2 linked regions of the Styela clava genome follow. Each later gene encodes a partner of the first gene's protein in a complex. Links are inferred from orthologs where the notes say so. Each region holds a gene or a part of one and is shown in the gene's direction. Other genes may lie near its edges.

What was found. The genes of interacting proteins can lie anywhere in the genome.
Region 2: putative RNA-binding protein 15B (region 1) and N(6)-adenosine-methyltransferase catalytic subunit METTL3-like share a complex: the UniProt entries of both Drosophila melanogaster proteins name them as parts of the WMM complex. The link is inferred for Styela clava from reciprocal best matches to the Drosophila melanogaster genes nito and Mettl3.

Annotation. Positions count from the first base shown.
Region 1 is NC_135258.1:21,866,988-21,874,502, forward strand, and holds the start of putative RNA-binding protein 15B, read left to right. Parts: upstream 1-4,504; 5' UTR 4,505-4,639; coding exon 4,640-4,737; intron 4,738-6,954; coding exon 6,955-7,515. UniProt on the Drosophila melanogaster protein: RNA-binding protein that acts as an associated component of the WMM complex, a complex that mediates N6-methyladenosine (m6A) methylation of mRNAs. M6a modification plays a role in the efficiency of mRNA splicing and is required for sex determination.
Region 2 is NC_135263.1:8,553,728-8,561,481, forward strand, and holds the start of N(6)-adenosine-methyltransferase catalytic subunit METTL3-like, read left to right. Parts: upstream 1-4,752; 5' UTR 4,753-5,162; coding exon 5,163-5,256; intron 5,257-5,344; coding exon 5,345-5,532; intron 5,533-5,812; coding exon 5,813-6,385; intron 6,386-6,783; coding exon 6,784-6,892; intron 6,893-7,011; coding exon 7,012-7,226; intron 7,227-7,369; coding exon 7,370-7,557; intron 7,558-7,754. Other genes in the region: DNA topoisomerase I, mitochondrial-like, read right to left, coding at 142-327, 403-546, 768-912, 1,093-1,280, 1,479-1,601, 1,867-1,988, 2,114-2,282, 2,453-2,509 and 5 more. UniProt on the Drosophila melanogaster protein: Catalytic component of the WMM complex, a complex that mediates N6-methyladenosine (m6A) methylation of mRNAs, a modification that plays a role in the efficiency of mRNA splicing and is required for sex determination.

The DNA of each region.
Region 1 (7,515 bases):
GCAAACAAAAACATTAGACCGCGTTCAAAACGTACAGAATATAAGATGGAAGCAGAGGCGTGCCAAACTTTTCTGCTGCCTGGGGCGAGTTTCTGACTATGACGCCCCTTATCCCTAACTCAAATAATATTTTGGGGGTTAAACAGATTATATATGTTGTTATACATGAGAATAAATAAATTAAAGGTCAAGTAAGAGAAAAACGTTTGTTTTATTGAATAAATCATCAAACTGAGCAATAAACTCGCTCGTATAAAATGGAACTCATTAACAAAATGGAAGTCACTTATTTCTATGTCCAGTGGCTACTTTGCTGTCAACAAATGTCTGAACGACAGCCTCCTCCACCTCGCTTGTCAAGAATTTCTTTCGATGCTAATCAGATCTAAACTTGAAAGGCGCTAATTTGGCATTCAACTTTGAGAAAGATCGTTTGCAACTAGCTATTAATTTTTTAATTTCGAGTAATAAACAACATGCAATGCAAAAAGTTGGAAAAAGTAGACGTTTTCGCATCCAGATTTTCTGCCATGGTTGTAAACTATACCTCATTTTCGCGTTTTTGCATGTTATTTTTTAGTTTTTGGTAATGTTTCAGAAATTATTAAATAGTTTAAGTACTCGTGTAGCCACCTTTACAATGAGCACCAAAAATGTTGCAATTGTAAAAGATAGGAAGAATTTTTCTGGGGTCAACTCATCATCACCACAGTCAGCCAAACAATACTAAACACTAGGGATGGGACGACTCCGGGATTCGACGAGTCCGAGTAATAGGTCATGGACTCGAATCCTCCGAGTCCGTGACGTCACAACATAAAGAGAGAAAAACACGTTTTTGACCATGCTAAAGCATCGTGCGCTCACAAACATAGTCTAGAGATGTACCGATACCACTTTTGTCGCCGATACCGATCCGATACCAGCTAAAAACGCCGATACCGATACGTCGATACTACAAAAGGGCCGATATTACCGATACCGATACTATGTAATTATTACTTAATTAGGTGTGCTGAGTAGGGCAGACGGGTTAAAACAATAGTCTTTGAGCGTTGTTCATAGTACACATTATTTCAGATCGAAAAAAAAAAGATATATCACATAATATGAAATTAATGTTTAGTATCCATATGCTTTAACTGATTAAGATACATTGTACAGTAACGCTAGTAATCTCGGTGTTCAATTAGAAAACTCATAAGCCGGGATGTCCAATTTGAATTTAATGTTAATATCGCGACCTTCGAATATCGTTATTCGTGTTTAAACGAATATCGAATATCGCCCACACATTCTAGCGCCGCCGTTCTACGTTCAAATTAAAAGTATTTTATAAATGTTTTATTTAGTGGCTAATCGTAATCGTCAACGCCAACATGAAAGAATAACAAACAGCACCGACAAAAAGAAGGCCCACCTATAACCGTCGAGGATATTTTTTTACTTTACTAATTTTATAATATTTTACAATTTCTTTATTTTGAGACAGTCTAGGGCTAGGCGGTCATGTCAATATATCTATAAAGAAATTGTGTAGTTAAACAGAATTAAAATTAATACCTGTGTAGTGGGATAATTGTGTCGGAATTTAGTTTATCGATGTCGACGGACTAAATGACACTCGTACTTGACGACAAACAGTCAGAATTTATACCCGTGCCAAAAGTCCATGTGCCGTTAATAAGGACCCCAATTCCACTGTATGATTTAAAACTGGGCGCCTAGTTTTTGTTATGTGCTGTGTTGATATATTTCTTCATAAAAACTATGTAATATTAAAAATGTCAATATGAAAATTTGACAGCGAAAATAGCCAAATTAGTTGAGCTAGTTTGGCTGATAAATAGCTAAAACACGTGAATCCTATTCTCTCGCGGGGGTAGGGACATGTATGGCTCATAGCTCACGATCTCTCCAGACAAAAAATAAATTAAAAAGTAGTATTCCAACTTATCTTTTAAAACACTCTGGACCATATCAAAAAGGTGAATATATCGGAAATATCGGTCTTAATCTAACCGATACCGATACATGGCCGATACCAAAAAAATTACCGATATTGCCGATACCGATACATCGGTACATCTCTAAAACATACATCGTAGCCAATATTCCCTCTAATTTTTTGTATTATGTGTGCGCAGAAATTTTGGTGTGTGCGCACTTTTTTGGAAATGACTAATATTTGTGCAAAAACCAATGAAGAAATTTTGACGTTCTAACCGGGTAATAAGTGGGCCAACAACAAACTTTCTCAACCTGCCAACCGAGAACATTGTTACATTACATCGATTTACGTCTGTGCGCAGTAAATCTATGCGTGTGCGCGGCCCCTGAAAGCTGTGTGCGCGCGCACACTTTAGAGGGGACACTGATCGTAGCTCATATTTTTTGCCTAAAGGTTTCGTAAATAGCTGTTGAACCATTTTAGAACCACATTTTTCCTTTTTTTTTGCGGTCTTAATACAAACGTAAACGTGGGTCAATGTGCGCCTTGGCTGTGAACTGGATTTCCAGCCCACCACCTTGCGTCAATTCTGGGCGGCTATTCAGAAATTCTTACATGTCAATATGAAAAAATAAAAAGCTTTTGAGTTTTGACTACAATGCTTTCCCATAATTTCAGATATTTCTAGCCGTAAATTTACCATGTCACGTGCACAAATGGTAGAGAAATGCCACTCGTCGTCAATACAATGTGGTACATCTGCTTGCAATTTAGTAGTTCATGTAAACGTTCTAAGCTTCCATGCTTTTCATTGCTCCCTTTTTAGAGAAAGGATTGCATGTAATAAACTCGATTTAAAAGAGGTATTGATGAGATTCCCCATTGGGTTGATCCAGAGTATGTTTCAATTTTACGCGAATCACAAATATTGCGCTAACACATATTTTATTGTGTACCACATGTATACGAAAAAGGATAGATAGTTTGAAGGCGCCTGGCGCAACATCATTGTTATAATCGGTCAATAGTTTTAAACTTGTGTTATATTTTCTGGATATTTGTCGTCGTTTTTTATTAGAAGTGTTTATAATGCACACGGGCGATATTGATACAGATCTGACCTTGAATTTTACCTAGTTAATAAACAATGTTCTGCATTAGCAGTGTTCACAGTACGATTGCAGATGCAGTAAAATTCCGGACATTTGGGCATTTTTTTTATATTCTTTCAGGACGCAAAATTTAATCCTAAATTCCGGATGGTATGGCAACCCTAAGCTAGATTGCGGCGGGTACGTTGATGTACTCCACAGTTTTATTTAGCAATCGGTCGCAAACTGTTGGTCTAGTTTTTCCGGGTTTTAGTTTATTGATAAGAAGTCTTCTTCGAGATTAAAATAAGCGACGGTAAATCTCGCTTTCGTTTACGACGGGAATTTTATTTGCGGCGGAACGAGGGAGTGTTTTTGAAATTTATGCAAATTTCGGTGTTTTTTGGGTGGTAATAGAAGACATATTATCCCTTCCATCTACCAAAGTATTTTGAGTTAGATCACGAAATTGCTACAGCAATATTATGCTATTGTTTGCTAACCACGAAGTGGTAACAGTAAAGGATTTAGCGAATATTTCTATTTTTTTTATCACGGTTTGAAGTTTCAACTCCCAAGAAAAAAAAGCCTTTTTTCTATCCGGTTTGTGACTCAGACCACCACTTTTGAAAAAACTTTTTTTTTTGCTAATTGCAAGCTCTTTAAATAAGCTTTCCAACGAGCCGTCAGTGGGCAGCAGAGGATCATTAGTTTTTCGTTAGTCGATCGATTAGTTGTGGGGGTACAAATTCATAAAATCGGCGTAGCAAATACGATTATTTAATAAAAAATAAAAATCGCATAGAAAGGGTTAAGGTATGTAAGATTCGTCGAGGCAAAATTACAAATAAACGCGTAAATTAATAAAAACAGAATTGATTATAGACTCAGTAAAAATGACGTGGACTCGAAATCGGATCCGAGTCAAAAAAATGCCTGGATTTAACTCGAATCCGAGTCCGGATCCGAATCCTGGCCTATCCCTACTAAACACATAATGTCAGCTTTCAACGCAAACTCTACAGCTTGGTTCTGCTGCCCCCTACAACGTGCTGCCCGGAGCGGTTGCCCCCTTCGCCCCCCTCTAAGCACGCCATTGGATAGAAGGTTTTTCAATTAGAATTGGTACCATTGAGGGTATATACACCTCAATGATTGGTACATGTTCACCAACGACTAACGACAACGACGTGTTCACTCACCTAAAATATTTGAATTATTAATGCGATAAATTACATACTGATAGTAAACAAAAAATAAATAAAAATTAGTTACCGATATATTTAGTTTTTGTTTCATGATTTGTTTATTTTATTGTATATGATAATATTCATTCATGCAATTCATTATTTTTGTGACCAGTAAATTGTGACTTTTCAATGTACAATATGCGAATTTTGGGATTTAGGGTATTACTCTACTGTTGATTTCAATCCTTTATCTGGCAACCATAAATAAGTGACTTCAGTGGATCTCAAAGTGACATTCGCTTGCTTCCGGGCGTGGTTACGTTGTCTTCTACACGCGCTCTTGAAATTACTTTGTTGGTCATACCTTTATAGAGTTTGCTTAAATATTGCTTGACGTGGCTCTAACAATGAAGCGACAGGGTGAAAAAGACAGTCCTTCCAGAAATAAACGCTCGAAAGTACGAAATGGTAGTCCAACCCGCCGAACTTACAGCCGGCACAGCAGGTTCGAATATTATTGCTGAATTATGGCTTTCAGCTTCTTTTTTGTTATCATTAATGTTTTCCATATCAAGCGTCTGAGCGTTGCTATTGATGCAAACCAGAATGTTCAGATGTTGGTTCTGTAGAATATTGTATACCGGTACATTACCACACTGCTTGGTCAGTTGGTACCGGTACGGTACCGTACCGGTATCAGTCTTTTGACTGATTGATTATTGTCCCCAGGCTGCCAAGACTGCAGGGTAAATACTGAAATGAGCGAGATAGATGTGAAAATCATATCCTAATTGTCTGGGTGAAGTTTAGGCATCGCTGACTTCAGGTTTCATATTACGGTACTTGAATAAATCTTGTTTTTATTGGCCCATTCCTTATCTATTTCATTATTTGCTTGTCATTAACTGTAATCATATAAATATAATAAATATTTCGGTTAGATGCTATTCCTAATTGGTCCTTTGGCCTCTCGCATTTGGGTACGTTTTTGAATATTTTTTTCGGAATCTAATTGCAGAATTGTAGTCTAAATATTGAATCTGATATTTTTTTCTAAAATCCTGAAATCTCTTGCGGCAATACGGTACAAAAGTCAAATATTTCCAGAATATTATAAAGTGGTTCAAAATGTATTTCAAGAATTTGCAGAATTCCATGATAATGTTGTTTTTGGCAGACTGAATTTGCCCAAAATGACTAAATTGTTTGAACCAAATAGATATTGTGCTGTTTTGATGTGATGAATTAATCACGCTTGACTAATTTTCATAATTTTAACCAGACAAGAATTAGGTAGTATACAATATTATATTTGGCTCATAATATCCAAGGAGTCAAAACAAAAATCTAAGTTTGGTCTTCCTGGTTTTTCAAAATGTATTATTTAGTATTCTCTAAAATTTATTGAAAATTACTCAACAAGGTTGTCCTTTGGGGCTGAAATTGAAATATATATGGTAGTTCAATGACTAAGAAACATCATTCGCAGTCATAGATATGATATGAAAGCAACCAACTTACAAATATAGAAAATTGAGGAATTTGACTGAATCGATTTGGTATTGGTAGGAATGGTGTAATTTTATATTTAGGTTTTCAATTTTTATATATCAAAACTAGATAGGCTACATGGCCAACATACCCCCCAATATGAGAAAATCAATAGTTGAAGCAGATACGATTTTTAAGCTTTTTAAAAGTAATTCATTATCCAGAACGGTATTGTTGGTATCATTTTATCTATACGTCACCACGAATAAAGATTTTTTATTACAGTAAAAATTTCGAATTTTTGGGATTAATGAATTCTTTTACACTTATTTATTCAATAATATAACAAAACATGCTCATATAGCATCATGTCTATTGATGCTTCTAAGTCCTATAGCGATCACAATTACAAACAATATACCCATTATATGTTATGATCGATACAGCTTTTGCTTTTTCTAGATTAATGAATTTGTTCATCACATATAAAGTGATGCATATTCAAATGACAGAACTTGTTTTTCTTGTATACGTCCCTTTGGAGATATTTATATTTAGCAAAAAGTGAATGTTGTGTAAGAAGATTTGTTTTGCTACCAAAGAGTCATCAGCAATGTGTATACTTCTATTGTGTATTCTGCACTACGCTGAAAGTACTCTACACTTCATACTCAAAGCGCATAAGTGATATATTTACTGACCAATCAAAGTCACTGGGAATTATCTCTGCTTAAATTTGTTTAATATGCTCAACGAGCTGGAATATTGAATAAAAAAGGTTTATATCTGTTTACTGTGAGCAGTTGTTATGCTGCACAGTGCTCTTTTATCTGGAAAAAAGGTTTATGAACACCTTAATTCTAAGCAAATGGAGTATTGAAATTATACTTCCCTGTTTTGCTGTGGAAACGGGTTTTCTGCAGTGTGTGCGCTTATGATTGAGATAAAGGTTTATGAACACCTTACTATGCAATATGATAAATGTGAAAGTTTGAAAAATGTATTCACTGGTAACAAATTATTGCACCTTAGTATGCAATATGATAACTGTGGAAGTTTGAAAAATGTATTCGTTGGTAACAAATTTGAGACGATGTAAAAATGCATAAACACCTAATAAAAACCATTACCTAGCTCGTAACACTGAGATATTGAGAAAGGTGTCTTTCTGTGAAGTTACTGGCTGAATAATAGGTTAGGTTTATGAAACATTGTATCTTATCTCTTATAGCCCGCATCACAGAGATGATCGGAATGTTGGGAGGAGAAATTCGGCTTATGGGAAGAGCGAAGATTCATATTCACCTTCGCAGAGATTTACACCACCACCTCATCGTGATGATAGAAGACGAGAAGGAAGAGAACCGAGTCGAGGAAGTTACAAAGTCTTGTTGGTGAAGAATTTCAGCTCACAGATATCTGATGTCGACATAGAAGAAAGTCTATATTACGAATACAAAAAATTTGGAGATGTTTCTGTCAAGGTTTCTACAGACAACAGAGGAGATCGTGTGGCTTATGCAACATTCAGATCATCTGGTAGTGCAAATGATGCAAAGAATGCTAAAGGACATTTGGTGATGTATGACAGACGACTTACTGTTGAAGCGGTGTATGAGAGACGAGAAAAAAAGACAAGGACTCTTTCACCATTGCCGGTTCCTGACACTAGAGAACGTGAACCAAACTATCGCAAAAGATCACCCTCTTTTCAGTATGATGCAGCACCATCACCTAGAAGGCGATCTCTGTCTCCGGCTTCTGAAGGAAAAAGTTACAGTGTCCACAACAG
Region 2 (7,754 bases), on another chromosome or scaffold:
TTTAATAGAGTCACAGTCAATCTCTTTATATTGCTGCACAGTTTTTTGACTGAAATCATCACGATTCTTACTGAATGAAGTCTAAATTTGAGTAATGAGTGAGTAGACTTTAGCATCTTAATTTTAATAATATGACAATACCTGTTTAGGAACAGGAACCTTGTTGTAATATCTGATTGAATCTTTTCCGAGAAAGTCAAATTCAATCACATATTCTTGCATGTCAAGCATTTTATGGGTTTTGATGTGTTCGCATCGGAGTGAGCAACAACCGACAGTATCCGCACCTTCGCCTTCTTCCTTTTCATTACCTGCTCTCAACGCCAACTAAATGAAGGATAATATATCAGAATCAAAATTATTGCATAAAAACTCCAAAATTTTAATTGTCCACACACAAACCTTGTCGATGAAAAATAGAGCCACAGCACGTTGTCTTATTGCCATTTCTTGTGATTTCATGTCTCTCCAATAGTCTTGTCGGATTTTATCGACGCGATCTTTAAGTTTTCTGGCAGTCTCGTATTTTTGCCAATCTTTTTCACCCTATAAAAATAACAATCCCTTTACTACACAAAGCTGAATACAACCAAAACAATAGGAAACATTCTTATCAGTAAACAACACTTAGAATAGAACAACTTATAATCACAAAGACAAACAAAATCACAAAGTGAAAATTTGCATTATAATCAAATATGCATACTCTCAATTCCACAGAAAAACCTATTATATTTTCTTTAAAGACTTTAATGCAAAAAAATCACCTTGATTCTTGAATTAGCGTTTAGCATGATGTATTTATTCTGTCCTTGTATGTTTTCAGTCCATGATACTAACCATGTCACAGTGTTGTCATGCCTGACCTCCTTCCACTTCTGTCCAGGAGGAGGTGATGGAACTTTGGAACCTCTGCATACAAGAGAACAACTTGAATTATAAAAAGTTTCATGAAATTTATTTTTTATATTAAAACACAGATTAACAGCTGAATATATTTCACTTGATCGTTCTAACAACCAAAATATTTCTATCATTTACATGATCCTTGAATTCCAAAATTTGCTTGTAAATGGGACTAAACAAACTTACTTGCTGCAATTTATGATGATATCTTTGGCTTGCAATCTTTTTTTAATTTTACCCATTTTGGGATGGTCCCCGCGTCCTCTAAACAAACTAGGAGGTTCTAATCGGAAATTTCCAATCTTTTCTTTATGATTGTCCCACATGCAAAATCCATATTCCTCTTGAATCAAATCTTTTTCTTCTTTTTCTTTCTGTGATGAAATAAAGAGAATTGATCATTAAAAGCATTCAATATAGTGATTATATTATGGTACTGCAGAAGTATGCATACCAAGATGTCGCACAACCTGAATCCTAGCCGGTAAACACATACTATGTTCAGGTATTGCGCCATCTTGGCGCGCATACTCCTGGAGGTCCGATTATATAAACAAAATTAGACAACTAACCTGCTTTTCTTGCTTTGACCTCGCTTTTCTTTCTTCCGACTTCATTTTAAAATATTCATTTGTGGCCCGAAAATCACATTTACCTAGATCTGTTATAATCTCCTTTTCCTTGCTGGTCATAACCTTGAAAAAAATAAAATGCAATTGTCAATCTCCATTATCTAATTCACCAAAAGTCATCTGTCAATCTCCATTATCTAATTCACCAAAAGTCATCAATTCAATAATACATAGTCAGGTGTAAATTACCCAAACAAGAGAGAATTATCAAAGTAAAGTTGACTATCTCAAATTCACTAAATTATAAAACTTTGAAAAGCTGATAGAAGCATGAATTCCTAATCTAAATTTGATCTATCCATCTATCTTAAAAGTATTCAATACAAACCTTGCGCCAGTCATGAAAAAAATTTTTATTGAAGATTTCTTTCGAAGTATAATCGTGGTCCAACATTTTAGCATAGAACGTCATTACCTCTTCTGTTTCTGGTTCGAGATGCATCACTTTCCCTACAAAAGCATTGATGAAACATCAAGTATTGCTTATTGTATTGGCACAAACTGAGGTTAAAAATAAAATATATGTGATAATGGCTATGATTTGCTGCAGAGTTGTTGCTTCCAAACTTTCTTACCGCCATATTTGAAAGGAACAGAACTTGGCAGAGGTTCATATTCAGGGGCAAACATTGGTCCTTTGTGTTCAAGAGTTTTCCATTTAATTCCATCATCAGTATCCTTCTTTTCTTCCCACCACTTCCACTTTGAAGCTGCTTCCTCCTCTTCTTTCATTTTCTTTGTTTTCTTGAAGAAATTAACAGAATTTAAATATTGTACCAATCCTTGACATTACCTTTTTTATACACATGTATGCCATAATGCATTTCCCCCAATATGAGAGAGCCATAGAAAAATGAACCTAACATTCTGGACCATATAAAGACGTTGCTTTTAGTCTACAATTGAACACTCACCTTTTTTGTCGGACTAGACAATGTAGAGGAAGGTTCGGCCTTCGTTTTAACTTTTTTCTAAAATAGAAAATTCATTATGACATAACATTTATTTTAAAATATATCAATAATCAATATCAAATCAATACTAAACCAAATACTTCTCATCAATTCTTCCAACGTTGTACAATGTTACAATACTGAAGGAGCCGGGCAATAAAATAAACTGAGATTTCGGTAATGTTAAGCGTAAAACAGACTAAGGCTATATCGAATGACCATTTCCTGACTTACAATATTTGGCTTCACATCATTTTCTTCAGCTTTTCGTTTCTTGGCATGTTTTTCCTTTTTCAACTTCTTCTTCATTCTATAATTGTTGACATGAAAATTATATTTGATGTATCTGGACATATATCATTCTGGTTAATGAATTTTCAACACATACCTCCTGATTTCTTCATTATCTCCATGATTAGTAACCCCTGAATTCTGATGAGGCTAAAAATGAATTCCAAAGTTGTTACGGTATGATATAAATAAATTGCAATTTAATACAAAAATTGGAAAAATAAAATGCCAAATACAATTTAGTGTTTTCCAAATAAAATTTTGGTTGCCCGCCCCTATTACTAACCTCTCCAGAATCCATTCTTTCTGTTTTAACTTGCATAACACCTTGACTGAAAAGAAAACAAAATCTGAGTTAAATAATTGCAAGTCAAGATATGATTGAGGGCAGGGTAGGAAAGTGCCAACCCCTTTATTGGCAAATATCAAAACCAAATTCAACTCTATGAAAAAAGAAAAGTATAAACAGGGAAGAAAACACTAAAAATTTATATGACGATCATGGACCAAGATAAGATTACTTTCACGAGATAGAATTGATTGCAGATAATTCAACTAATAATGCAATGAGTGATATAATTTACTGGATTCAATTAATACAAAGCATCAGCAAGAAACTCAATTTAAAAGATCTTACTCTCCAGCATGATTGGCAGTATGGTGTTCTGGTCGGTGCTCCCTTTTAATTCTTATTCTTTTCCCATCAGGACCAATTTTTGGTTTTCCATTTGAATCAAGTACATATTTGTGCTTACGATCTTTATCCTGAACAAAATAAATGACTATTATTAATAAGGTGCATGGACAACTTGTCTAGATTATTTCTTAATACAATTATCTAATAAGGCATGCAGTGATATATCACAGCCATAAAATATTCCAATTGATTTGGATTTCATTTGATTTCGCTGCATATTTTATTTATTTTGGGTTTACTCATTTTATAGAATATTGAAGTAGGTATTCATGAATTGAAAGATATCATTAAATCTGAGCTTGTCACTTCAAATCAATTTCATATATTTCAAAACTCTTCTATTACATACCCTACCTTAAATATCTTCCAGTCCCATTAAAGAATTATATTAATTATTAAAAACAAACAAAATTTAGAGAACAATATATCAAAAATAAATTCAACCTTGTGATGCTTATGCTTGTGAGGCGAATGTAATTTCTGTGGTGATGAACCATTCAGTGTTGTTGAGGAGTGTGCGAGTTCCATGGAAAGCAAACTAAAAAGGATTTTAAATTTTATAATTGAAAGATCATTCAGTCATTGCTAATGCAGTCATAAACCCATTAAAAAGTAACAAAACATTTAAAAATATAGAAATAACATATGCTATTTCACAGCCTTGCTAATAAAGTACGGGTACTGACAGTAGGGCTATTTTCGAATAACTTACCTAATATTAACAGTGAATAGTAGACGATCAGCGTCTGTCTTGTCTGTAGAATCAATAGAAAATGACTTCGCAAAGTTTTTTTCTTGGTCGTTGCCCTTGATTCAAAAACTGAATGACGACTCCAATGAGTAATGAAACCAAATTCGTAGTTATACACTTCAAGGCAGTGGAGTCGTAACCAACAAAGCAGACAAACGAAGAACCACACAAGGCAAACCAGAAGACAGTAATGGCGTTCAAAAAAAAGAACAAGTCCGACAATTTCCGTCTGCGCATGCGCACAGACTTAGCTTCTTTACCTTTTTCTTTGCCTGTGTTACGCAAACGGGTGTCGCGAGAAAAAAGTTAGAGTCTTTTGTCTGAGTTTAAACCTATGTTTTCGTTCAGATGTGCGCTGAGTTGGCGTGAGTGCGCTTGTAGTTTTATGAACGCGATTTGTCGATTCACGCAGTGAACACGAATCACCGTACTAACATTCTGAGATAAATTTCAATGTTGCTGCGTGTGGTCATATGTACATGCAGGGAAATCAAAGTCATTTCACGTTGCAACCAAACCGCATTGTTTCATCGCCAATTTACATATGCAATAAACCCAAACACATTCGATTTTTTCTGTTACGAACCTTCCTTTTTACGCATTGACGACATTTAACCACTTATGCATTTCACAGTTAGTTAGAATTATTAAAATCCCATAGATTTTCCCCACTTATACCATGGAATATCAGACCTCAAGTACAGAGTGCTGTCACCACAATTCCCAGTAATATTATGAAGAATATAAAGCATATATTCAAAGATGTCCATACACAATAATTTCATATGTTTTGAACTTGCTTGCTAGTGGTGCAATTGTCCTATACACTGCCTCAAACTATATCTTTTGAATTATTTAGTTGTTCTTATCCACTAGCATAAACCTTCTGGCTATTTTAATAACATTGTGGATCTTCTCTCTCATCAAGAACAATGTCTTCTGATACTTGGACAAATTTACAAAAGCTGAAAATGAAACAGGAAAGTTTAAGGGAAAGAATACAAAGAAGAAGACAGGGCCATAAAGGTGTGTTTTCCTTCCAAGACTTGATGGATATTTTTGAGTGATTACTATTTTCATGAATTTTACACATTTTGTTTGTCTGTTTTTATAGAAATTTTGGCACAGACTGCAGATTCTACTGCAGCATCGACAGTAAGCAATTCATCAGATGTGGCAGATACAGAGGAAAATGTTGACGTTATTGACCCAGGAATTGAGAAAAAATTTCAGCAATATCTATGTCACCATTCACTCACTTTCCCAATGCATTCTCTCAATATAATGTCTGGATTCAATAAGGTGTGAACATGATACTTTATTTGCCTCTATATATTTCTAAAAGTCTCAGTATTTGAAGCGCTAGAGAATGCCATAAGTTTTTAAACTTTTATACATACAAAGGTACAGAGGTATGGTATTTTAGAGAAACGTGCAGCAAAGGTGAAAATTCGAAAAAGTTGTGTATTTGAATACTATATAATGTTAATATTAAATCCATATTCCCATGACTTTCTTCTAGCAAGGTTGTTTCACTTTCGATTTATTTATGTATATCGATACAATTTATTTTTATTTTCAGATTCTCCAAAGCGTCCCAAAGACCACATCCTTAACTTTGCCTCAAGTTGAACTTCTCTTGAACAAGCAAGAAGCGCAGCGATTTATTGAAATTGAATACTCTCAATCAAGTGTAGATAAGTCAAACGAAACTGATTCAAAAATAACCGTTTTGTCTGTGAGCCATGCCAAACTTGCTGCAGTAGCTGGAGAAATGAAAGAACCAATTTATACAGAAGAAGATATTCGATCAAACATGTCTGCCTCTGAGAAACAAACTAGTGAACGAGAAAAAAATCAAGACAGTTCCCTGGTAAAGCAAAAACAGGCTGTGAAGCGCCACTCGTCTGATTCAAATCACAACCGAAAGCACAGAAGTGATACGAGACGGCCAGAAAAATCCTCAAAAACAAATGAGTCTGGAAAAAATAATGAACAGAAAGACTTGGATGATATAGAAGAATTGCTGTCAACTAAATCAGCGAAAGAACAGGACACAAAACGAATCGCAGAGGAAATTCAAGAACTACTTGGCACTGCCTCCACTAAGGAATTATCGTTAGCGGAAAAATTCCGAACTCTTGGTGGTTCACAGGTGCATATCGAGTTATTGAACTGTTATTATTTTGATTGGTTTGGCTTTTGACTCCTAAAACGTAGGTGGGAGGGTTAATCCAATGGCTCTAGTGAAATCTTATATTTCAATACTATACTGATTTATAATTGTTTTAATCCTGCAAATGCTTAGTCAGCCAATGGGGCGAAATCTAATATACCGCATTGCTAAACAAAGTCACATTTTCAAATACTGTTTCACCCGTAGAATCAAGCTGGAATTCTTTGTGGCAGGTTTCTAGTAAAAACTAGCAGTTTGCTGTGATATGTACTGAATTTTTACATACATATACCAAAGTCTTCCGTAAATTTCAAATTCTATACTCTTTTTACTACTGAGGCACATGTGATTAGATTAAAAAAAAATTCTGCATACAGGTTAAAGAATTCTGTCCTCATGGTACACGGTTTGAATGTATGCGGCAACGGAAATCCAATTATTCATGCAGTAAATTGCACTTCAAGAAGTTGATAAAGCCTCACACAGGTGCTTACAGTAATTATATAATGACAGAGATAATTTTGCGTGATAGTGGTTATAACAAAAATGATGGCGATTGAGAAATCTATTTCCCATACAAATTTTAAGATTATTTTTCCATTCAGATGAATCACTGGGAGACTGCTCTTTCCTCAACACTTGTTTTCATATGGATACATGCAAATATGTTCATTATACTATTGATTACAAGGGGACAGAACTTGACCCAAGGTATCAAAAAAGAGGAAAGAAAAGAACCGAGTCAAATGAAGATAATAAACTATTGCCAAAACTTGCATCCGATGAAGATTATTTGCAAAGGAAAATGCTTCCTCCACAGGTTGGTTTCGTCTCGAGCAAACTTAATCGTACATGACAGTTATATTAATCCTGTTTGTGATCAAAATTTATTTTATGAAGTTTACATAGACAATATAACAGAAAGTGGCATTTGTCCTCCCAAGTCTTTTTTGTTCATTTTAGTGGGTAACATGTGACATCAGATATCTTGATATGTCAGTGCTTGGAAAATTTTCTGTAATAATGGCTGATCCGCCATGGGATATTCACATGGAGTTACCATATGGTACAATGCAAGATGATGAAATGAGAGCATTAAGAATACAAGATCTATCTGATGATGGCCTATTCTTTTTATGGGTAACAGGAAGGTGAGTGTATCTATGAATAATTGTAAATTTAAAGCCCTTGTCTTTAATCATGTTACAAAAAATGCCAAGAATATTCATTTTATTGCATTTCATAAGGCAATCAGCTCTTTAAAGTGTTTCGTTGTTTGCTCATAGAGGTAAGGGTGCAACCATGCTATTACTCTAAGTCCTGACCAAATGATTCAATATACCTTCAT